Linked DNA regions of Lonchura striata. The protein of the gene in region 2 purifies or fractionates together with the protein of the main gene of each other region. This does not show direct contact. Links are inferred from orthologs where the notes say so. Each region holds a gene or a part of one and is shown on either strand. Other genes may lie near its edges.

The links.
Region 1: the proteins of DDX23 (region 2) and TSSC4 purify together in Homo sapiens (affinity purification with mass spectrometry; 3 studies listed by BioGRID and IntAct, with this or other methods). This does not show direct contact. The link is inferred for Lonchura striata from reciprocal best matches to the Homo sapiens genes DDX23 and TSSC4.
Region 3: the proteins of DDX23 (region 2) and AAR2 purify together in Homo sapiens (affinity purification with mass spectrometry; 3 studies listed by BioGRID and IntAct, counting the BioPlex papers as one, with this or other methods). This does not show direct contact. The link is inferred for Lonchura striata from reciprocal best matches to the Homo sapiens genes DDX23 and AAR2.

Annotation. Positions count from the first base shown.
Region 1 is NC_134608.1:47,077,439-47,084,905, forward strand, and holds the start of TSSC4 (U5 small nuclear ribonucleoprotein TSSC4), read left to right. Parts: upstream 1-4,409; 5' UTR 4,410-4,537; exon of another isoform or gene 4,538-4,588; intron 4,589-4,938; exon of another isoform or gene 4,939-5,133; intron 5,134-5,861; exon of another isoform or gene 5,862-5,934; intron 5,935-6,924; 5' UTR 6,925-7,012; coding exon 7,013-7,467. UniProt on the Homo sapiens protein: Protein associated with the U5 snRNP, during its maturation and its post-splicing recycling and which is required for spliceosomal tri-snRNP complex assembly in the nucleus.
Region 2 is NC_134629.1:6,086,634-6,094,545, forward strand, and holds the start of DDX23 (putative ATP-dependent RNA helicase DDX23), read left to right. Parts: upstream 1-4,873; 5' UTR 4,874-4,953; intron 4,954-5,589; coding exon 5,590-5,792; intron 5,793-7,348; coding exon 7,349-7,447; intron 7,448-7,565; coding exon 7,566-7,662; intron 7,663-7,754; coding exon 7,755-7,820; intron 7,821-7,912. Other genes in the region: RND1 (rho-related GTP-binding protein Rho6), read left to right, coding at 1,317-1,426, 1,777-1,911, 2,687-2,932. UniProt on the Homo sapiens protein: Involved in pre-mRNA splicing and its phosphorylated form (by SRPK2) is required for spliceosomal B complex formation.
Region 3 is NC_134619.1:13,898,764-13,906,596, reverse strand, and holds the start of AAR2 (protein AAR2 homolog), read right to left. Parts: upstream 3,083-7,833; 5' UTR 3,063-3,082; coding exon 2,315-3,062; intron 844-2,314; coding exon 614-843; intron 1-613. Other genes in the region: EPB41L1 (band 4.1-like protein 1), read right to left, coding at 7,450-7,458. UniProt on the Homo sapiens protein: Component of the U5 snRNP complex that is required for spliceosome assembly and for pre-mRNA splicing.

The DNA.
Region 1 (7,467 bases), on a different chromosome or scaffold from region 2:
TGCCTTGAGGTAATCAGAGGTTGTCGAAGCTGTAACTAAGAGTTGCAATATTCTCTCAAGAGGGAATAAATGCAGCCAGCTCTCCCATGGCAGAGCTGTTGATGGTGGAGGTTTCTGCAGAGGAAAGCACCCCCACTGCTGGATGGGGCCGCACCCTCCTGTGCCTGCCAGCTCCGCTTGCCGGGCTCAGGGATGAAGGATGTGTTGGTGGCTGTGCTCACATTCCTGCTCTGAACCACTGTTTCCTTTGCTGGGCATGACAGCACGGCCCTTCCAGTTAGGGGAAGAAAAAAAGGTGAGTCTTTCAATAATCTCAATTCACTGTGGGGGTTGTGGTAGGGCTGGGAACTGTGGCTGCACCAGTGGAATGACAACCCCGAGGGAGGAAACATCTGCCACCAGTGAGTGCCGAACCGGAGAGGGAAACAATGACCTACCTGACCAGCTCTTGAGTAAGCTGTCAACACAGGCTAGGAACCCCAAGTCCCATAAGTACCACGCTGTGCACCTGAACTAGATAAAGGCTGCATATTTTTCCTGACCACTCCTCAGTTTCAGCCTGGGGAGCATCACATTGCCTTGCACAGGGCATTACCTAAGCAATGGGATGCAGAAGTGCTGTTCGGGGCGACTCCTTCAGCTGACCTCTGGCAGCCTGATGCTTTCACTTCAGTGCTCAGAGACCTGGAGCAAATAGAAAACACCTCCCAGGTGCTAAAACTGCTGCATAACTGAAACCCACCTTGTTTTCACACTTGCAGACACATTAGAGGGTATAAAAACTTTGCAACCACTGTGAACTGCCTGGTGTTTCTCACTGGATTTAGATGACCCAGCTCAAGAGCTAATGGTTGGAAGTAACACTTCTAATTACAGTTTAATTACACCTTTTACATTTTTTTTTTACTTTTTTTTTTTTTTTTAAGTGTTTCTTGGCCCTGCTTTGCTAGGGCATTCCCTCATGCCAGAACACAGCTTTGCTGAGTACTGAGAGGTGTTGGTGTTGGGCCAGGCGAGATGGCATGCACACAACACCCTGCCTGCTGACTGCCAGCAAACTGCTGAGATTTCCTCCGGCAAGGATTCATGCTGTTAATGCAAGGCTCAGTGTTGGTTGATGTTGCTCCCACAGCTCTTGTTGGAACAAGAGATCTGGGGAGTTTTAGGGTTCTGTGGGGTTTTTTTGTTAATGCTAACTTCAAGGTCACTGATTCCAGTGACCTTTTTCAGCCTTTCATTGCATATTTTTTTTTAGTATCAGGCACTTTGGGACAGGGATAGGGAAAAGGAAAAAGCAGCAAGATTGGGAGAAAGGTTTTCTTGGTGCAAATATTCTGTAGTTAAATCAAAATGAACAGACACCCCCAACTGTTTTTGTTTCTTTTAAACAACTGGAGTAATTGCAGAGAGTATTAATTTTGCTCATAAAGGATTTTCCCTCCCACACATGCAATATCTCTAACAAAAAAAAAAATAAAGGGTTGTGGTGTGTCCCTGCAGGTCCTCTATAGGCTGGCAATAACATTGTTATTGTGAAGAATAGAGTTGATAAAGACCTTCATAGCCTGCCTGCATGCATTAAAACTCACTCCACGGGAACTAATTTTATGTAGTTACCTTAGGGGAAAATAGCACCAACATGGGTAAACAGCACTGGAATAAATCTAATCTGCTTGCAGGACCGAATGAAAGTACAAAGTAAAACAGGTAAGCAAAGCTTAATGTAGAAGAGAGGTGGTATCAAACACTGAATTCTGAAAACCCACCCCACAAGGGATTTCAAAGCCGTTTGTAGGGTATCATTCTGGCAAATGGGAGAGGACAACTCATTTATTTTCTTCAGGCTGTACCAGTCTGGCTTGGTGTGACTGCCTTCTCCCAGCAGAGAAGGCTGCAGTGGTCATGACTCTGCTGTTCCTTTCTGCCTGCAGGAAAATACTCCTTTCCCACCCCACCTCCCCTCAAGAGCTCCAGCATCAGCTGCATGTGGCCACATCTGAGTAACCCCCACATTCCTTCCAGATGCAGGAGATGTTGAAAAAATGCATCTTGCTGCTCTATCTGGCTTTCAGGATCTGGGTGGCTGTTGGGGAATAATGGCCTGCTGCTTTCCTATAGCCCTGAGGAGAGGGACCAGTGGTCTCTACCCCACACACCTACCCCAGGCTCCGAGGGCAGGAGCAGCAGCAGGAGCCTGCCAGGGAGCAGTGGAAACATTTACTGGACGGGCCAAAGGAGAGATTTATTTGCAGGAAAGGAGCAGGAGGCGCCTACGATGGGGCTGAGGCTGCTGTGCATTTTCACATGCCACCCCCACACACAGGGCTTCCTGCAGACACATGGAGCCATCCCTGCAAATGAGCCGCCCCTCAGAGCCTGCACGCTGGATACAGCCTGCTCATTTGGATGATGGCCTGTCCTGCAGCCCAGTTCCACCTTCCAGCCCCCTCTTCAAGCCACTCAGTTCAGTCCAGCAAGGGGAAAACACTTTCCCATCTGTTGGTCTTCAGACTCTGACTCATTATTTTTATTTCAGCTGTCGCCAAGCAATAGCGAAAGTCCCAACACAGCAGCATTTCCACTGCTGCAAGCTGCCTTGTCCTCAGCCACCGGAGAATGAGCAGCTCAGCCTCAGCTCTCCGCTGCGTGCGATGCCAAATATCACAGAATCTGTCACAGAATAGGCTGAGCTGGAAGGGATACACCAGGATCATCAAGTTCAACTCCTAAGTAAATGGTGATCAAACCCACAGCCTTGGGTTTTGGTAGCACCATGCTCTAACCAGCTGAGCTAATTTCATGACTAAAAAAACAGGAAGGAAGGAAAGAGTACATTCAGGTTTCTTAGTCATCAATACACACAGCATCCAGGCAAAGAGTGAGAACTTGTAGCCTCTGGAAAGGGAGACATGGAGCTGGTCCCTGGAAGCACCCACATCCACAGGTGACAGGGACACTGGAGGCGGTGTTGCCCCTTCCTGCCCCTTTAAATCTCTCATCTAACAAAGAACCAAGACTCAAAACAAGACAGGATCTGCAACAGTCTGTTGTACCCGGTCTCCTCTCTTACAGAAATGGGATGTGCCACGGCTTACTCCACATCCTTTTTCTGCCTGCTCCTTATTAACTCAGAGACTCTCCTGCTGTCTCCCCATCACTCTAGACTGTTACACAGCACTAGCAGCCTTTACCCAGGCTTACTCTTCCTTTTGTTTGCCCGCTTACTGCTCCCCTCCTTTCCATTCCTGCTCACCTACGTCAAGACTCATGTTTTCCTTTCCTCCCTCCATCTGGATACCCACTTGAATGCCTGTGACCGTACTACCATATGTATATATATAAAAAAATACAGGATCACCAAATGGGGAAACACCTCTAGAGCTGCTCTGAAACTACTGCATGACTCCAGCTAGACAGGAGGCATTTTGCAATAACCTCATCACTGCTGCCAAGTGTGTTCCAAACACAGACCTCGTGTCATAAATTACTGTAATTAGCAACACTCCAGCAGGCAAAAGTATGTATTTAAAAACGAAGGATGCACATGAAGTGACTGCAGTTTATATTATGTGTGAGTCACGGCGAGGCAGAGCTTGAAGGGAGCCAGTGAAGCTCCTGCAGCCACAGCATTGTCTGGCACAATCCTTTCCAGCACAGCAAACCTTTTCCTAAACACAGGGAAAACAAGCTGAATAGTGAAGCCTCTTGGGAAATGTATTTGCGCTGAAAATTTCAACTTTTTTTGCTGAAATAAGGGGAAAAACAAAAATCTAGTCTCTTTGGCCGGCGCCAATAAAACATTTTCAGACAGAGCCCCACTTCTTGACACACGCGCAAAAAATGTTCCTCTGGGACGGAAAATGGAAACTTTTTTATTTGGATGGATAGTGGTTTTATGCCTCAAGTGACTTCGGGTTTTCTGGTTTGAGAATAAACACGTAAGAGAGAGGAAAAACAACAACAACAACAACAAAAAAAGAAACCAAACAAAGCAAACAGAAAACTTCGGATGTGTTCGTGGTGGCCAAGCCCTGCTGTTCCGATGAGAACAAAAGCTGTGACATGGGTTTTTTTCTAGACTGCGACTGCGGAAGGCGGCGGCGGTGCCGTGTCCGCCCCTCACGGCGCCGGGGCGGCCCCGCGGCTCTCCGGGGTGCACGGGCGAGCCCCGCACCGAGCCCCGCACCGAGCCCCGCACCGAGCTCCGCACCGAGCCCCGCACCGAGCACCGGGCCCCGGGCCCCGAGCAGGGCCCGCACAGGCTGCGAAATGTCGGCGCCGCGGTGCGCCCTGGGAGCTGTAGTCCCGCCGCGCAGCGCCGCCTCGCCCCGCTCCCCGGCTCGCAAAATGTCCTCCGCCGAGGCGAGACGGCCGCCTACAACTCCCAGCAGCCCCGAGAGAGGCGGGGCGGGGAGGCGCCGGCCCTTTCCGCGCCGCGCTGCCCGCCGGGAGCTGTAGTCCTGCCGCCGCCGTGGCCGCCCCGTGGAGCAGGGCAGAGGGACTCGGTGTCCCGGCGCGCCGCGGGCCGTGGGCGGAGGTGGGCAAGGCGGGCGGCTGCTGTGGAAGTGTGGGGCTGTGCGGTGTCGGGGTACGGGGGCTCCCCCTTCCATTCCCCCCTCCCTTCGCCTCCCCGGCGGTTCGCGCTGCGTGCCCGGGCGGGTGGCGGTGGCCGGGGCGCAGGGCCAGCGAGGGCCGCGTGTGGGGCGGGCGGTTCGCATCCAGCAGCATCCCGGGCCGCGAAGCGCTCTGGGGCCGGGACGGGCAGCACAGCCGGGGCCGCACCATCACCGTGCCCAGCGGCCGGTGCTCTTTTCCCTGTTCCTCTTCGCTGTTCCTCGGCGCGGGGGCCTGCGGATCCCCGTCCCGAGGGGCTGTGTGGGCTTTGGCGCGGCCCGTGGTCGCGGTTTGCGGTGTCTGAGGTCTCCGTCCTCCGCACAGAGCAGCGCCAGGATGGAGGAGCCCGCTGGGATCGTTCCCATCCGGAGGGACGTCATGCTGCCCGAGTCGTGCTGTGATCGCGTCACCGTAACACACCTGTGAGTGGGTCTGGTGTGCTGTAAGGGCCGGCATGTTTGGCCACCAACTTTGTTAAGGCCAAAACATCTCCTTAGGAGCAGAATTTCTCCTTTCTGTGTAAGTGCCCTCAGACAAGACATGGCCCTGATGATCACTTCTATTGCCATCTGAAAACAGCTATTTTATTTAATTGTGCACTTCGAGGCCTTTTCTGAGTTGTAGTCATTACTTTTCATATGTTCCAAAACTAAGCAGAAGGCTGTATCATTTTAAGAAGATTATTTCCCACTAGGAGTTACATGGAGGGCAGTGTTTTCAAAAGTAGCCATCAGATCCTTTCTGTCAAAGACAGCCAAACTTGACATGGAACATAGCACTCCTCAAAAGGTCTCTGTGTTTTGTGATTCATAACAATCTGGCCCTAAATTTGAACGTGACGTTTCTTTGAAAACAAAAGTCTCTGTTACCCATGGTCTTAATACTTAGCAGCACTTAATGTTTACAATGCATAACTATTATTTTTGTATCTTAGCTGCATTTAATACTGTTTATTTACTCTTTTGCACATGCAAATTACAGCTTGATTTTTTTTAAAACCTCCCTTCTGTTCTACAGGATAAAGTTGGCAGTGTGAATGTGAAGGCTGGGTAAATATACTGGTGCCTATGTTATTAGGCTGTGTGCTGTTCTTCTGCCAAAAATTCAGTAATATCTACAGACTTTTATACCACTATGAGTTTGTGTCAGATTTAGAACCCAGTTCTGCAGCTTTGGATAATTCAGGGGGACAGAATTATTTTTAAAACTACATTTCCAGTATCATGATGGAAATGTTTATTTTCTAGGGTGGAAGTGCTGAGATCTTTGGTGGCTTTAACTGACCCTCAGGAGGGAAAGCTGACTCAGTCTCAAGAGAAAGTGAGTGACTAACAGACTGTCCATGTCTGTTTACTGCATCGTTACAGAAGAGCCTATAATTAGGTAGTCAAGCTTATTCTAATAATATGTTAGAACTGTTTCCATAATTCACGTGAGCTGAACCAAAATGTGTGTGTGCACCAGCTCTGTTTCCAATTGCCCAGCAAGTGGTAGCTGGGTCATCGACCGCCAGAATTCAGCGAGATTCCCTTCAAGCAGGTGGCACTGTCAGGTGTTCCAGCTGCTCCTGGAAGTCAGGCTTCAAATCATGCTGTCATTTACTGACTGAAGGGCCAGCTCTTGCAGGCCTGTGGTTGCAATCTCTCCTAGTTTCCATGTGTGAGCCTGGTATGTGTAATTAGATTTCTTAATCCAATGGGATTGATTTCTTGAGCTGGCTGGTTTTCCAATTCCTGGAATCTAGTAATGACTTAAGAGAATAAAACCAAAGGAAGGAGTGGAGTTTGTATTTTATGCCACATTTAAGCAGGCTTAAAACAGCGGCCCTTTTATTTTTGTCATCTGTCACTGATGGCTGTTGGGACAGCAGGTACAGTGCTAATGCAGTAAGGGTTGTACTGGCCACAGGCAAGTGTGAGAAATTGGATGTGTTTTTGTGGATTTTTACAGTGTGAGTAAACACAGTGTAATATGCAGAGTCTTGGAAGATGTACAAGACAGGGATTCAGATTAACTCAAGAGCTTTATGTTCATCTTTTAGTAATTGCATCTGATGCAACCTGTAATGAAATTTGGTAGCATTACTTTCAATTACTTCATATTCTTCTATTCAGTCTTGTGTAAATCTTTAATTTTAATGTGCATTCATTCCTTAAATAATGCTTTCATTTGAAGCAAAATTGCTTGGGAATCCCTAAAGCACAGCTAACTGTTATATTGCAGTTATAATTACTTTGCATGACACAGAGTGATGGTCTCATTCTTGGTTCTCATTTCACAGTTAAGTTTTTATGCTCCTTTGTATTCTAGGCACTAAATTTGCTGGGCATTTGGAAAAGCGTATTTAGAGTTGTTCCTGGGCCTACATCAAAGACCTCAGTGGAGTGACAGCTTGAAGATGGGAGACCAGGAGGCAGGTGAACCTTTTCTGGGGATAGTGGCTGATGGTGGCAAAGACTACGAAGGAGCTCTGCCCTCAGACACGGTGTCACTCAGCGATTCTGACTCTGATGACTTGGGGCTGGTGGGTGAAGCAGAAGTTGATACAATATCTCCTGAGGAGCCATCTGTAGATGAAGGGGATTTCAGATCAGGAGAGACACCCGACTCTTCAAACAGCGGTCACAGATCTCCTGTCCAGCCGTTCCATCTGAAGGGCATGAGTTCTACCTTCTCTCTCCGTAGCCAGAGCATTTTTGATTGCCTGGAAGAGGCAGCCAAGCTGTCTGTGCCCTCAATGGCTGAAGATAACATTGTTGATGGGAGGTTTAAGCGTCCATTGCCTCCGACCACAGTTTCAGGTAACATGGTCCCAGAAAACTTGGGAAGGCAAGCCAGAGCAGTGCAGGCTCC
Region 2 (7,912 bases):
ACCCCCGCGGTCCCCGGTGCGGTGCTGGTGGCTCCGTGTCCCCGAGGACCCCGAGGGGGTGGCAGCGTGTCCCACCCCCTCCTCCGGCTTCTCCCCCCCAACCCCGACACCCCTGGGTGCTGCCGGGGCTCCCCAAAACGGGGGGCGGGGGGGATGTTACATAAACACCGCGGGCTCCATTTCCCGCTGCCTCGCCAAGGCGCGATGCAGCTGATGGGCTGCGGGGACGGAGGTGGCGTTTTGGGGGGGTTCCAGAGCTGTGCCCCTCTCCCCGGCCCCAGGGGGGCTGTGTCCCTTTTGGGGGGCTCTGGAGCTGTGTCCCTACGTCCCTCTTGCTGTGTTTGTTTTGGGGGTCTCTGCCTTTTGGGGGGCTCTAGAGCTGTGTGTCCGTCTGTGCCTTTTGGGGGGCTGTGTCTGTTTTGGGGGGCTCTAGAGCTGTGTGTCCCTCTGTCCCTTTTGGGGGGCTGTGTCCTTTTTGGGGGGCTCTGGAGCTGTGTGTCCCTATGTCCTTCTTGGGGTTCTCTAGAGCTGTGAGCCACCACCCTGAACAGGAGGGGAGCTGTGTTTGTTTTGGGGGTGTCTGTGCCTTTTGGGGGGCTCTAGAGCTGTGTGTCCCTCTGTCCCTTTTGGGGCACTGTGTTTGTTTTTTGGGGCTCTAAAGCTGTGTGTCCCTCTGTCCCTTTTGGGGTGCTGTGTTTGTTTTGGGGGGGCTCTGTGCCTTTTGGGGGGCTCTAGAGCTCGGTGCACACACTTCAGGCATGAATAGGATTTGTCTTTTTTAAGGGAGTCTAGACCGGTGTCCCCCCTGTCCCTTTTGAGATTCTGTGTCTGTTTTGGGGGGCTCTAGAGTTGTGCTCCCCTGTCCCTTTTGGGGTTCTCCCAAACTGTGAACCCTCATGCTGGGCAGGAGTGAGGCTGTGTCTATTTTGGGGGGCTCTGTCTTTTTTTGGGGAGGGGCTCCAAGGCGGTGCACGCCACCTCAGGCAGGAGGTGGCTTCGTGTCTCTTGAGGGGCTGTGTCCCTTTTGGGGGCTCTGGAGCTGTGTGTCCCTCTGTCCCTTTTGGGGGTCTCTGTCCCTTTTGGGGGTCTCTGTCCCTTTTGGGGAGCTGTCCCTTTTGGGGGTCTCTAGAGCCGTGCCCTCACCCCGGGCAGGACCGGGGTCTCTGTCCCTTTTGGGGGTCTCTAGAGCTGTGTGTCCCTCTGTCCCTTTTGGGGGGCTGTGTCCCATTTGAGGGGCCGTGTCCCTTAGCCAGACCCCCTTTCCCATGTCCCTGGGGTGGGGGGGCTGAGCTGTGACCCCCCCAATTTTCCCCCAGGCTCTCCCTACTATGACAACGTGAGGCCCCTGTGCTACAGCGACTCGGACGCCGTCCTGCTCTGCTTCGACGTCAGCCGCCCCGAGACCCTCGACAGTGCGGCCAAGAAGGTGGGGAGGGGGCTCAGGCCCCGGGACAGTGTCCCCGTGGGGTTTGGGGGGCTCAGAGATGTGGGGACACCACCCTGAGGTGTCCCCGTGGGGTTTGGGGGGCTCAGAGATGTGAGGACATCAATGCAGGGGGATCTCTGTGGGGTTTTGGGTGCTCAGAGATGTGGGGACACCACCCCGAGGTGTCCCCGTGGGGTTTGGGGGGCTCCGAGATGGGAGGACACCAATGCAGGGGGATCTCTGTGGGGTTTGGGGGTTCAGGGCTGTCAGGACACTGTCCTGGGGGGTGCCTCTGTGGGGAGAGGTTTTTGGGGTTGCCCTGAGAGCAGCTGTGTGCCTCGACCCCTCAGTGGAAGACGGAAATTTTGGATTATTGCCCCAACACGCGGGTGCTGCTCATCGGCTGCAAGACGGACCTGAGGACGGACCTGAGCACGCTGCTGGAGCTCTCGCACCAGAAACAGGCGCCCGTCTCCTACGAGCAGGTTTGGGGTGTCCTGCTGGGTTTTGGGGGGGTCCCAGTGTTCGTGGGGCTCAGTTTGGGGTGTCTCGGTGTTTGTGGGATGGGTTTGGGGTGTTTGTGGGGCTCAGTTTGGGGCTGTCCCGGTGGGTTTTGGGGCTGTCCCGAGTCGGTGGGGTGGGTTTGGGGCTGTCCCAGTGGGTTTGGGGCTCAGTTTGGGGCTGTCCGGGTGGGTTTTGGGGCTGTCCCGAGTCTGTGGGGTGGGTCTGGGGCTGTCCTGGTGTGTTTTTTGGGCTGTCCTGGTGTGTTTTTGGGCTGTCCCACTGTTTTGGGGTTCACTTTGCCCCATCCCCTGCCTGCCGGGGGTGGTTCCCCACAGGGCTGCGTGGTGTGGGGTGGGTTTGGGGGCTGTCCCACTGTTTTGGGGCTCAGTTTTGGGCTGTCCTGGTGGGTTTTTTGGGCTGTCCCTGTGGGTTTTTTGGGCTGTCCTGCTGTTTTGGGGCTCACTTTGGGGCTGTCCCCATGGGTTTGGGGCTGTCCCGCTGTTTTGGGGCTCACTTTGCCCCATCCCCTGCCTGCCGGGGGTGGTTCCCCGCAGGGCTGCATGGTGTGGGGTGGGTTTGGGGGCTGTCCCACGGTTTTGGGGCTCAATTTTGGGCCGTCCTGGTGGGTTTTTTGGGCCGTCCTGGTGGGTTTTTTGGGCTGTCCTGCTGTCTTGGGGCTTACTTTGGGGCTGTCCCCATGGGTTTGGGTTTATCCTGCTGTTTTGGGGCTCACTTTGCCCCGTCCCCTGCCCGCAGGGCTGCGCGGCCGCCCGGCAGCTGGGTGCCGAGGGGTACCTGGAGTGCTCGGCCTTCACGTCGGAGAAGAGCGTGCACAGCATCTTCCGCAGCGCCTCGGGGCTCTGCCTGAGCCGAGCCCCCCGCCCGCCGCCCCGCAGCCCCCCCCGCAGCCTCTCCAAGCGCCTCCTGCACCTCCCCAGCCGCTCCGAGCTCATCTCCTCCGCCTTCAAGAAGGAAAAAGCAAAAAGCTGCTCCGTCATGTGAAGGGGGGAAAGGAATGACCCCGCTAAATACACACCACGATCACCTTTGGGACCCCCCGCTCCGCTCCCGAAGCCCCCCGAATGGGGTGGGGGGGCTGGATGGGGTTCTGGAGTCTGGAGCTCCCCCCCCCCCCACTCAAAAGGAGGGTTTGGGGGTGCTGCTATTGTCCCGCCAGCCCCACAGCCTTGGGGGCTGCCCCTGTGGGGAGGGGGTCTGGGGGGTGTCTTCACCCCGGTCTCCAACCCTGAGGGGGTCCCTGGGGGGTTTGGGGTGCCCAGACCCTCGGGGACATCAATCCTGAGGGGTTCCTGGGGGATTTGGGGCACACAGGACCCCAGAGACCTCAACCCATAGGGGTTTGGGGTACTCAGACCCTTGGGGACATTAACCCTGAGGGGTCCCTGGGGGATTTGGGGTGCCCAGACCCTTGGGGACATCAACCCCGAGGGGTCCTTGTGGGGTTTGGGGTGCCGAGACCCTCAGAGACATCAACCCATAGGGGTCCCTGGGGGGTTTGGGGTGCCCAGACCCTCAGGAACATCAAACCTGAGGGGGCCCTGGGGGGTTTGGGGTGCCCAGGACCCCAGGCACATCAACCCTGAGGGGTCCCTTGAGGGTTTGGGGTGCCCAGACCCTCGGGGACATCAACCCTGAGGGGTCCCTGGGGAATTTGGGGCACACAGGATCCCAGAGACATCAACCCATAGGGGTTTGGGGTATCCAGACCCTTGGGGACATCAACCCTGAGGGGTCCCTGGGGGTTTTGGGGCACACAGGACTCCAGAGACATCAACCCATAGGGTGCCCAGACCCCTGGGGACATCAACCAGGGGGGTCCCTGGAAGGTTTGGAGTGCCCAGACCCTTGGGGACATCAACCCTGAGGGGTCCCTGGGGGTTTTGGGGCACACAGGACCCCAGACACATCAACCAGGGGGATCCCTGGAGGGTTTGGGGTTTCCAGACCCTCAGGGACATCCACCTGGGATGGTCACTGCAGGGTTTGGGGGACGCAGGGACCCTGTCCTGGGTATGCCTGTGGGGTTTGGGGTGCACATCATGGGACTCATCCATGGACTCATCCTGTTCTCTCCCCCTTTCCCCCACCCCTCATCTGCTGCTTGGCCCTGGGGGACCCTGTGGGTTGGGGAGGGGGGTGGGGGGCTGTTTTATGGACTGTCTTTGGGGGGGGGGGGTGTCTCTGTTCCATGTCAGTGTTATTAAAAAGCTTATTTATTATCAGAAATATAACACCTACCTATGTGCAGCCCTGCCTGGCCCTGTGCTTTGGGGAGGGATTCTGCTTTTTGGAGGCTGTTGGGACTTTCGGGATGTGTCGGTGTCACTGGTGATGGTGACACCGACATGGGGCTGTGCTGTCACCCCTGGGTGCTGGTGCAGAAGGCAGAATCCCTGGCTGGGTGTCTTTGGTGGGGGGGGGTTGGTGCCAAAAGGGTCCCCCCACCTCTCCTGCCCCCAGACTCCACCTGGGACCCCCCTGTGTTGTGCATGGGGACGCAGTGGGGGTCTGGGGCTCCTGCAGGGACTCTGATTCGGGGGTCCCCGGCCAGTCTGGGGCGCACAGGGCTGGGGGGGTCCCCGTGGGATTTGGGGTGCGCAGGGACATGGGGGACACTGACTCGGGAGGGGCCCACCCAGGATTTGGGGTGCTCTGGGACCTCACTTGGGTGAGCAGGAGGTGCCTGCGGGGGGGCTCGGGGACACGGGGACACCGTCCCGGGGGACTCTTTGCCATGGGGAGGGGGGCGCTGCCGCGCGGCGGAAGGATCACGGAGCGCGGCGGTACTGCGACCGCGCAGGGGCGCTGAGGCTGCCGGGAGCTGTAGTCCAAAAGCGCGGAGGCTGCCGGGAGTCGTAGTCCAAGGGCGCAGAGGCTGCCGGGAGTCGTAGTCCAAGGGCGCGGGGGCTGCCGGGCGCTGTAGTCCCGCGCCGTCCCGGCGTGCCCCGCGGGCGCGGCAGACATGGCGGCGGAGCGGCGGCGCTGAACCCGGGGCCGCGGCGGTGAGCGGGGACCGGCGGGAGCGAGCGAGGGGCATTGCGGGAACCTCCTGGGGGCCCAGGCGGCCGGAGAGCCCTGCAGCAGCGGCACCGGGCACCGCCCCGCTGCTGGGCACCGGCGGCAGGGCCTGGAGCGCCGTTGCGCCGCGTCCCCCGGGCCGGCCGGAGCCTTTCCGGGGCTCCCCGGGACTCCCCGCACCCACCCCCCCCGGGGCTCCCTCTGCCCTCTCGGGGTCCCCCCTTCCCTCTGCGTTCTCTCCTCGGGGCCCCCCAGCCCTTCCCGCTCCTTGCTGGGGTCCCTCTGTTCCGTCTCCCAGGTTCGCCACTCTCACCGGTGCATCCCCCGGTCCTCCCGGTGCATCCCCCGGTCCTCCCGGTACATTCCCCGGTCCTCCCGGTACATTCCCCGGTCCTCCCGGTGCATCCCCCGGCCCTCCCGGTGCATCCCCGGCCCTCCCGGTGCATCCCCGGCCCTCCCGGTGCATCCCCCGGCCCTCCCGGTGCATCCCCCGGCCCTCCCGGTGCGTCCCCCGGCCCTCCCGGTGCGTCCCCGACCCTCCCGGTGCGTCCCCGACCCTCCCGGTGCGTCCCCCGGCCCTCCCGGTGCGTCCCCGACCCTCCCGGTGCATCCCCCCGCAGATGGCCGGAGAACTGGCGGACAAGAAGGATCGGGATTCATCCCCGGTGAAGGAGGAACGGAAACGCTCCCGCTCCCCTGAACGGGACCGGGAGCGGGAGCGGGACCGGAAAAGCTCCCCCGCCAAGGAGCGGAAGCGGCACCGATCCCGGGAGCGGCGGCGGAGCCGTTCCCGTTCCCGTTCCCGCTCCAAATCCACCGAGAGGTGAGGCAGCCCCGGGGCTTCGAAGGCTTCGGCAACGGGAAAGGAAAGCGGGAGGAGAAACGTTCTGATTATTCTTGTTTTTTCTTTTAATTAAAAAAATATTTATTTAATTTAAAAAAAATCATTTTTTTAATTAAAAAATGAATTTTTTAATTGAAAAAATCAAATTTTTATTGAAAAAATTAATAAGCTTTTTAAATACCTTTTTAAAGAGGACACAAAGAAAAAACTAATAACGGTATTTTATTTTAAAACTAGCTTCCCTTTTAAAGTTTGAGGCTGCCTCCCAACCCTGCCTCCCAGCAGGAATTGGGGATGGGGAGTGATAGTAAAAGGGTTTTAAAATCGTGGGGATTTAGGGTTAAAAGGAAAAATCAGCTTAGTAAGTCCTGGAAAAATAAATTCCTTAAGCACATGGAGAACTCGGACTTGCTACAACTGCACTGTGTAGCTAGGACATGCTAATTGAAATATTGTTAGATGTGATGATTGTTTAGTAATTAAATATAATTATTGTTTAATCATAAGAATAATCATGAGAAACTGTGGTCAGTGAGCTAAGAAAGATGATGAGAAACTCATGTCAGTGTGTACAACAGAACAATATAAGTTTAATAATTAATATGTGAGTTATGTAACGATAAAAGCACCTGCAGATAATGATATCCTGTGATTATTTGTGTTCTTAAACAATGTATTAATATGCAAATTAATATCTAAGTTATAGAAGGATAGAATATAATATATATTCAGGTCAAAATGGGTGTCGGAGTCAGATTTGGGTCTGTACCCCTGATTCCCAGAGCTCTTAATAGAAGCACCTGCAGATAATGATATCCTGTGATTATTTGTGTTCCTAAACAATGTAAATTTAATAATTAATATGCAAACTAATATCTAAGTTATATAGGATAGAATATAAAATATGTTCAGCTCAAAATGGGTGTCGGAGTCAGATTTGGGTTTGTACCCCAACTCCCAGAGCCCTTAATAAAAGCACCTGCAGATAATGATATCCTGTGATTATTTGTGTTCCTAAACAATGTATTAATATGCAAATTAATATCTAAGTTATATAAGGATAGAATATAAAATATGTTCAGCTTGAAATGGGTGTTGGAGTCGGATTTGGGGCTGTACCCCTGATTCCCAGAGCCCTTAATAAAAATACCTGCAGGTAATGATATCCTGTGATTATTTGTGTTCCTAAACAATGTAAATGTAATAATTAATATGCAAATTAATGTCTAAGTTATAGAAGGATAGAATATAAAATACATTCAGCTCAAAATGGGTGTCGGAGTCAGATTTGGGGCTGTACCCCTGACTCCAAGCTCTTAATAAAAGCACTGCAAATAATGATATCCTGTGATTCTGTGTGCTCCTGCACGCTGGCAGGAGCACTGAGCCCACCCCGCTCACTGCTGCATTGGCCAGGAAATCTCCAAACGAGCCACATCTCAGCTGTTTGAACCCAAACCTCTGCCCGGCCCCCCAAAACCCCAGAAGGGGGGTGTGAGGGCTGTGGGGCCGGGCTCTGATCCCCCATCCCGCAGGGATCGGCGGCACAAGGAGCGCGACCGGGACCGCGGCAAGAAGGAGCGGGACAGGGACAAGGATGGGCACCGGCGGGACAAGGACCGCAAGCGCTCCAGGTGGGTCCTGCCCGTTTCTTTGAGGGGTTCCTGCTCTCCCCTAAACCCCCTGGAGGTTGGAGATCCCTCAGGGCTGTGCTTGGTGGTGTCTCTTATTCCATGCTGTTTTCCTTGGAAGTTTGTCCCCGGGCAGGGGGAAGGACTCCAAGTCGCGGAAGGAGCGGGAGGCCCGGAAAGCAGAGGAAGAGGAGGAAAATGCCTTGAAGAAGGAGAAGGTGGGGAGGGTGTGGCAGTGGCTCCAGGAGGGCCCTGGGGAGTGGTTCCAGGGGATTCCAGGAGCGGTGCTGATGTCTGGCCTCTCTTGCAGGCGCAGCCGCTGTCCTTGGAGGAGCTGCTGGCAAAGAAGAAGGCAGAAGAGGAGGCAGAAGCCAAGGTGGGAGAAGGAACAGGAGCCTCTTCCCTCTTCTGGGGGTGTGGATGTTTGTGGGGATGCTGCACGGGGGACCCCAGGAGGGAACAGGGAGG
Region 3 (7,833 bases), on a different chromosome or scaffold from region 2:
CATTGCTCAGCTTTATCAGGGTGTCTGATATGGGCTTTTTATGTAAACTAAGCCAGTTTGCTGCACTGCCAGCACTGTCACCAGTAGTGGAGCAACTGCTTTCACTGGGGCTGAGCTACACATCTGCCCCACCTGTCTCAGCAGAAGCAGCATCTTTTGCATTTTGGAATAACCATAAATTCCCTCTGGAGAAGAACCTGACTACAGGAAATCCTCAGCTGTGCTAAGGAATGGAAAAGCTGCTTAAACACTATCACTGCCCTTAGCTCACTAAGGCTTTGCTGCAGCTTCCCTGCACACTGAGCACACCATTCCAAAAATCAGCATCATCAGTCCTTCATGCCAAAGGTTTGTTGTTGTTTTTTCTTTTCAAGAATGAAAGGCATTCTGGAAAAATTAAACAAACAGACACCACACTGCACTTGCCCAGCCTCTCTTGTAGCTGTTGAGCTGAATTTCTTACTGAATAACAGAGGGAAAAAGTCAAAATAACCCCTGTGTGCTCAGACAGGTTCCTGTCTCCCATGCAGCTTAATTCCTTTGGCAGTTTCACCCCAAATTTGACACTGCCTTCCCTCCCACTCAACTTCCCAGGGAACAGCCACAAACACACCTGTAAGGTGCTGGTTAAGAAGTTGTCCTGGGAGACAATGTCCACAAAAAAATCTGCTGGGATCTCGTTGAGCTGGTGATAGAGCACGGAAATGAGGTTGATGTAAAGGTCTTGGTACTTCCCTATGGCCTCCTCTGAGCGGCACAGGATGTTCAGGAGCCTCTTCCAGTGCTCAAAGGCATCGTACACATTCCCAATCAGGAAGCAAATGAAGGCAAACTGCAACTCAGCTGTGTGGGTTCAGAGAAGGGAAACAAAACAAAACATGTAAGACTAAACAGATATCCTGTGAATGTGTCATACACAAAGCTCTGCAAATGGTTTCTAAACTCTGGTTTGGCTTTTGCAAAGTGCATTCCTCAAGTGCATACTCAAACACTGACCCTGTACTGCTCTTCAGCTGGAGCAAAACAAAGCAGAACGGGGCAGGTCACCTGTAACTGTGATTATCAGCACTGGAGAAGGACTCTACAGACAGCAAACAACACCAAACAGCCCCAAACATCAAGGCAGACCCTGCTATTATACTTTGAGTGTCCAGCCTGCCAGTGCTGAGTGTCCAGCACAACATGGGACTGCAAACAGCACTGTCCTGGAATTCTGGGAGAGATCAGCAGTGCCTCAACGAGTGTGTTTGTCTTGCTGAATTAAGAGCCAGGGTTCATCACACTGGATGCTTGGTATCAGCTGTTTTCCCACCATTCCCTAAGGCAATTTGTTCTCTCTACATCCTACAGTTGTCTTTGGTAATTTTGAAGAAGAATAAATTGTATAATGTTAATGTACAAAAAAAATGGAAGAAGGGACAAACGAAGGCTTATTCCAAACCTGGGAGGGCTTCTCCCTCCATCCTGCAACAAAACAAAACCCTGCTCTAGGACCTCCACAAACCCAGCATTTATTTGTATCACAGGCTGCAAAGCAGGCTGGAGAACAGCTGAGCTCCGGGAGGTGTGGTGCCCCCACAGCAGGGCTGGCACAGCCTGGACACTGCCACTGTCACTGTCACTGCCACCAGCAGCACACGGAGCACGGCCAGGAGGGGCCGGGCCCTGCAGTAGGAACCACCAGGCCCACAGCTCCTGCCCAACCTAGCAGGAAGAAGGGGCCGGGGGTGCCCATCCCCACTCGGTGCTCTCAGGACTCCGTAAGAGATGTCCTCACGATGTTCCCTGAACAGCTAAGGTGCCAGGGCCACTTGTGACGGCTGCTTTTGACTTCATCGGGGCAATCAGGGCTGCAGCACCACGTTCCCACACCAGAGCCATAGAACAGAATTACAGAATATCCTGAGTCCGGAGGGACCCACAAGAATCACCCAGCCCAGCCCCCGTCCCTGCCCAGACCCCCCGACAACCCCGTCCTGGGCACCCCTGGCAGCGCTGCCCCAATGCTCCTGGAGCTCTTGGGGCCGTGCCCATCCCCTGGGGAGCCTGGGCAGTGCCAGCACCTCTGGGGGGAGAACCTTTTCCTAATATCCAAGCTAAACTTCCCCTGAAGGCCCTCGGGTGCTCTCCCTGGTCACACAGAAGAGAGATGGCAGCTGCCCCTCGGGAGGAGCTGCAGCTCCGGCCTCAGTCTCCTGCAGGCAATGCCAGAAACTGCCCAAACTTCTGTCCTGCGCCGCAGAGCCCTCGGCGCGCCAGGGAACCGGCAGAGGTCCCACCTGGAGCACAGGAATGCCATTTCCCGGGCGCTCACCGAGCAGGCCCAGCGGCCGGCCGGGGTAGCGCTGCTCCATCACCCGCTGCAGGGCGTAGCTCAGGTCCATGCTGTGCCGGGTGATCTCCTCGGGGGTGGCTCCGTCGGGGAAGGCCTGCCGGGGCAGCTCGGAGAAGCGGATCTGGGTGCCGGCCCGCGGCCGCATGCGGGGCAGGCGGGCCAGCCCCTCGGCGTAGCTGCGGCACTGGGCGCCCAGCGGCGGCCGGCGCTGCCCGGCGCGGTCCCGCGTGTGCCGCCCCGCCGCCTCGGGCAGCACCTCGGCGAAGGCGCAGATCTGGCCGCTCTCGGGCTGCAGCTCCTCGGCCGCCGCCTCGCTGATGAAGCTGCTCAGCGACACCCACTTCTTCAGCGTCTCGTAGGGGTAGGGCCCCAGGAAGGGGTCCAGCTCCCGCAGGCTGTCCCGCAGCGCCTCGCCCTGCTCGGGCGGCTCGGGCCGCACGGCCTCGCCCGCGGGGTCCCAGCGCAGCACCCGCACCTCGCGGCGCCGCAGGCTGAGGAAGCGGCCGGAGCGCGGCCCCGCGTCCCGCCCGCCGGCGCCGGCCGCGCTGCAGTGCACGAAGTGCAGCCCCGGCGGCACCATCTTCACGCCGCGGAACCGCGGCCCCACGGCCCACGCGCTGTAGTCGATGCCGAACTCGGTGCCCTCGGGCACGTCCAGCACCACCACGGCCGCGCCCTCGAAGAAGAGCTGCCGGGCCAGCTCGGGGTCCGGCCGCAGAGCCGCCATGCCGGGCCGCACCGAGAGCGGCGGCGCTGCCCGGACATCCGGGCCCGGCGCGGGAGGAGCCTCCGCGCCGCCCGGCCCCGGCCCCGGCCCCGGCCCCGGCCCCGGCCCCCCGGCCCCGGCCCCCCGGCCCCGGCCCCGGCCCCCCGGCCCCGGCCCCGGCCCCCCGGCCCCGGCCCCGGCCCCCCGGCCCCGGCCCCGGCCCCGGCCCCGGCCCCGGCCCCGGCCCCGGCCCCGGCCCGCCGGCCCCGGCCCCGGCCCCCCGGCCCCGGCCCGCCGGCCCCGGCCCCGGCCCCGGCCCCGGCCCCGGCCCCCCGGCCCCGGCCCCGGCCCCGGCCCCCCGGCCCCGGCCCCGGCCCCCCGGCCCCGGCCCCCCGGCCCCGGCCCCCCGGCCCCGGCCCCGGCCCCGGCCCGCCTGCGGGAACTGCTCCCGATCGGTGCCGCTCCGTCCCTGTCCCCGCCGGCCAGCCTCAGCCCCCGGCCCGCCGCTGCTCCCTTCTGCCTCTCCGTGGCTGGCGGCTGCCCCCGCTGACCCGCTGTCCCCCAAACCGGTCGCCAGTCCCTCCAGCTGCCTGCCATTCCCCTGGGCCCCCCGTGCTCCCAGCCCCGCAGCGGGACAGACGGACAAGAGCCGTGCCTGGGACTGATGGAGCGAGAGGCCCCCGGGACAGACACTGAGACCCTCACTGTGACACAGACACCGTCCCAGCACCACGTCCTCCCTTCCAGGACAAGACAGGGCCGGGGTCCCCAGGGATGGGCAGCTCCCTCTGCCTCCCGCACCCCGAGCATTCTCACAAGCCCGAGGCTCAGCACCTGCCACACGAAGCCGCTCCCGGCTCCACCAGCCGCAATTCCCGACCTGGCAACATCATCTGCCCTTGGTGTGCTGAGAGCCCACCTGCAGAACTGCGTCCAGCTCACGCTGGAGGGGCGCAGAGATGTTGGAATGAGTCCGGAGGTGGCCATGGAGATGCTCAAATGGGCTGGAGCCCTCTGCTCTGGAGGCAGGCTGGGAGAGCCAGGGGTGCTCAGCTGGAAAATTAAAGGCTCCAGGGAGAGCTCAGAGCCCCTTGCAGGGCCTAAAGGGCCTCCAGGAGAGCTGGAGAAGGACCTGGGACAAGGGCCTGGAATGCCAGGACATAGGGAATGACTTCCCACTGCCAGAGGGCAGGGTTAGATGGGATATTGGGAGGGAATTCTTCCCTGTGAGGGTGTGGAGGCCTTGGTACAGGTCGGCCAGAGCAGATGTGGCTGCCCCTGGATCCCTGGAATTGTTGAAGGCTAGCCTGGATTGGGTTTGGAGCACCCTGGTCTAGTCAAAGGTGACCCTGTCTGTGGCAGGGGATAGAACACGATGAGCTTTATATTCCCTTCCAGCCCAAACCATTCTGGGATTCTGTGATTTCTACAATCTTCTCTTTAGACAAAGCCTGGTATTTCCATGTGCAGTGCTCCCTGTTGCAAGGTTCCCTCTTCACGTCTCCATCCTCTCAACAGGAAAGAGTTAACCGAGGCCCCAGGCTGATTTAGCATCAAACACATTTATTTCACTTTTATTGAATACAAGAACAGTGAGCACACACGCATACACCACTGAGCACTGAAAAGGAGTATGACCAAAGGGGGTGAGGGAGAACAAGGGAAGAGAAAAGGAGAGTTAGTGAAGGAACAACAGAGCGTTGCAGTTGGTTGGTAAGGTGCTTCTCAAATAAAAATAAATATTATTATTATTATTATTATTATTATTGTTACTGTTATTACTCATGCAATTGCAGGCCAGGTTCAGAATGAATTTGTGGGATTGGGTAAAAACAGGCACTCATGTCTTCCACCCCTTTCCACAGAAATGGCCCCTGGAAGAAAAAAAGCAGTGACCAGCTATCCAGAACAGAGAGTGGTGATGGGCAGGCTGGGGCTGAGCAGCAGAAAGCTGCAAGTCACCAGGAGAACAAGCAGTGAGCTTTTTTTCTTTGCTTTTATTATTTTCTTTTAAGAAAAAAAAAAAAAAAAAAGGTTTGGACAGTGCCACTGATGAACACGCTGTGGGAGCCAGGGGCTGCTCACTGCAAACAGAACTCCCTCAGCCCAAGTGCACAGGGAGCCTCAGTCTACTCAATCCCATGGGAGCCTTGGCTTCCCACGCTGGGCACAACACCAGAAGCAACTCTGCAGGGTCACAGCGGCCTCGGGTGGGCTGGCGAGGGGCCCCAGCCAGGTGGGCTCCCCTGGCCCTGAATTGTGACATGTACTGGTGAACGCCAGCACGGGGCAGACCCCGGCCCTCTGCCACTTCTGGCAGTGCCTCTGCTGGGCACAGCTGGCTGGGCTGCATTGGGAAAACAAACGAGAGAAAAGGAGCCTCTTTGCAACTGCCCTAAGTGCTGCTAGGCTGGGGCTGTGCTCTCTGGAGACACGTGGCTGGCAGCTGGGGATGGGCACTGGCAGCAGCCCCTGTGCTCTTGCCTTCCATGCCTTGCAGGAGAAGCCTCTCTGCCAGGAGAACAGACTCACTGGTGAGCAGCTGCCAGGGAGCAGCTCCCTCCTGGGACAGCGCAGGTGGGAGCAGGGTCTGCCCACGGCATCCTCATGGCTCAGGAGCTCCTGCTCGGGCATCCTGTGAGCCCTGGCAAGGCCTGGCAGAACACACCTGGTCCTGGGCACAGCCTGTGTGAGGGGTGGGAGACTAAAGGCAAAATGGTGCAGAATCATGGCTCCTTCGGTTTCTGCAGGAGCTAGAAACAATTCCAAGAAGGAAACCCATTTCTTTCCTTTCCTTTCTGGTTTTGGTTGGGAGCCTACCTGAACTGCCTGGTTCACAGTGTATGGGGCCCTGGGCTTGGCCCACGATCCCCTTCCAAAGGCAGCCCTGGAGGGAGCCTGTGGCTGAAGGCCGAGCTGGGAGCAGCCCCACTGACGCCTCCTGGGCTCTCCCATCCAGCCTGGAACGCTGGGGACACTCTGCAGGGATGGACACAGCACGCTCCCTGCCCTGCCCATCCCCAGGCAGACAGGGGAGCACTGCCACGGCCCTGCCAGCGCTGTCCCCAGCCCTCTGCCATCACACCCCTGGTAGTGGGGGAGGCAGGGCACAAACAGCCCCTCTGCCTTTGACCCTACAAAAAAACTCAAGAACCTGCCCTACTGGGAACCAGAAGCAAAGCAAAGCCACCCCACTACCGCAGGGCTCCTGCAGGGAGCCCCGAGCCCTGCGGCTCCCGTCTCGCTCCCCGCTGACCCTGGGGGCAGCTCTGGCTCGGGGGCTGGGAGCCCATCGTGCCTACGGCTGGAGCTGGAGCCTTCCGTGCCCCTCCAAACCTCGCCACCACACACTGCAGACCACCGGCAGGACATTCCTGTCCTTTGCCCCCTCCCCTCCCCCCAGCCAGCAGCAGCCAAAACCTTTCCCATTCCTTCTTGTGGGACTCAGAGTCCCATGTGTGATCTGGGTCTCCAAGTACCCCAACCACAGTCAATCCATGAGTTAACAATTTCAAAATGTTGGCACCGTCTGTACCATCACTGTTGAATTATTTCAGCATTGTTCCCTCCCTCCCCCTCCGTTATATAGAATAATATACAGAACTGAAATGCACATCCATATGAAACCCCACAGGCTGCTCGTTAGAGATGAGAAACCATGTACATATCATTTGCTTTTGTTTGAAATGAAACCAATTCCTAAATACCTTCAGAGAACAAGAGGTTGGACAAGTGCACAGAGAAGATAAGGAAGGGAAGGGGAAAAGTTAACAGAACCCCCCCAAAAATGCAAAAAACCAGCATGGAATGAGGAGAAGGGCGAAATGACACTTGTGAATTGGAAAATAACTCTAAGGTCATAACTTCAATGTTTTTCTCTCTTCTTTCCAGAGGTGGGGAATGGTTTTGCTTCTGCTTGTGGTTTTTAACTTCAGTTTGCTTACTTGCTTTGTTGCAAAGCAGTTTTCCTTTCCATTCAGTGTGCAACAAATGAACTCATGATTGTGTGTCCTTTCATGTAACATGCAAGATGGTGGCTTATTGTATTGTTACCAAGATTATGGTTATTATTACGACTTTTTAAATCTGATTTGATCACCAATCCACGAAATTCTTCAATTTATCTGCAGAGGGTTGCCTTTGTTTGTTGGTGGTGTTGTTTGCTATTTGTTTCCAGCATATAGCAGCAGTGCAAGGATGCATTTTGTTTCCTGTTTTTATATATATATATGTATGTATGTATATATATATATAATATATTTGCTATTCCTTTTTTAAAAATTTTTGTCTCTTGCCATGAACATTGCAGCCAGGATGTCTATGTCTTGCTGACAAATCCAGCATGAAGGCTCCTTCTCCCCTGTTCTCCAGGTTTGAATATAGATGTTGGCTTCCAGGAACATGTTGGTCAGGATTCCTGTGCAAGGCAGATAGAAAGGACCAAGTCATGGAGTGCCAGTCCATGGAGGCTCCTCTTTGGATGAAGGCACTGGATAGAAACTTTGCAAACACTTGGGGCCACAGTTTACATTTAGTTAGCAGGAGCTCTGGTTATTGGCAGGAATTCAGGCACTGGGGTGGTGTTGGTGCATGAAGGACATGAGGGGAGCTGCTGCTCCCTCACTTTAAGCCATTCCACTAAAACTGGGTGGATCCTATGGGATGCAGGAATGTCTGGACTTGTTTGTACTGTGGGACAGGATGAGGCAGCTCCACCAGCCTCTCATGACCTTCCCAGCTGCATTACTGGTCGCTTTTCCAGGCTTAAAAGCTGCCCATCAGAACCTTCATA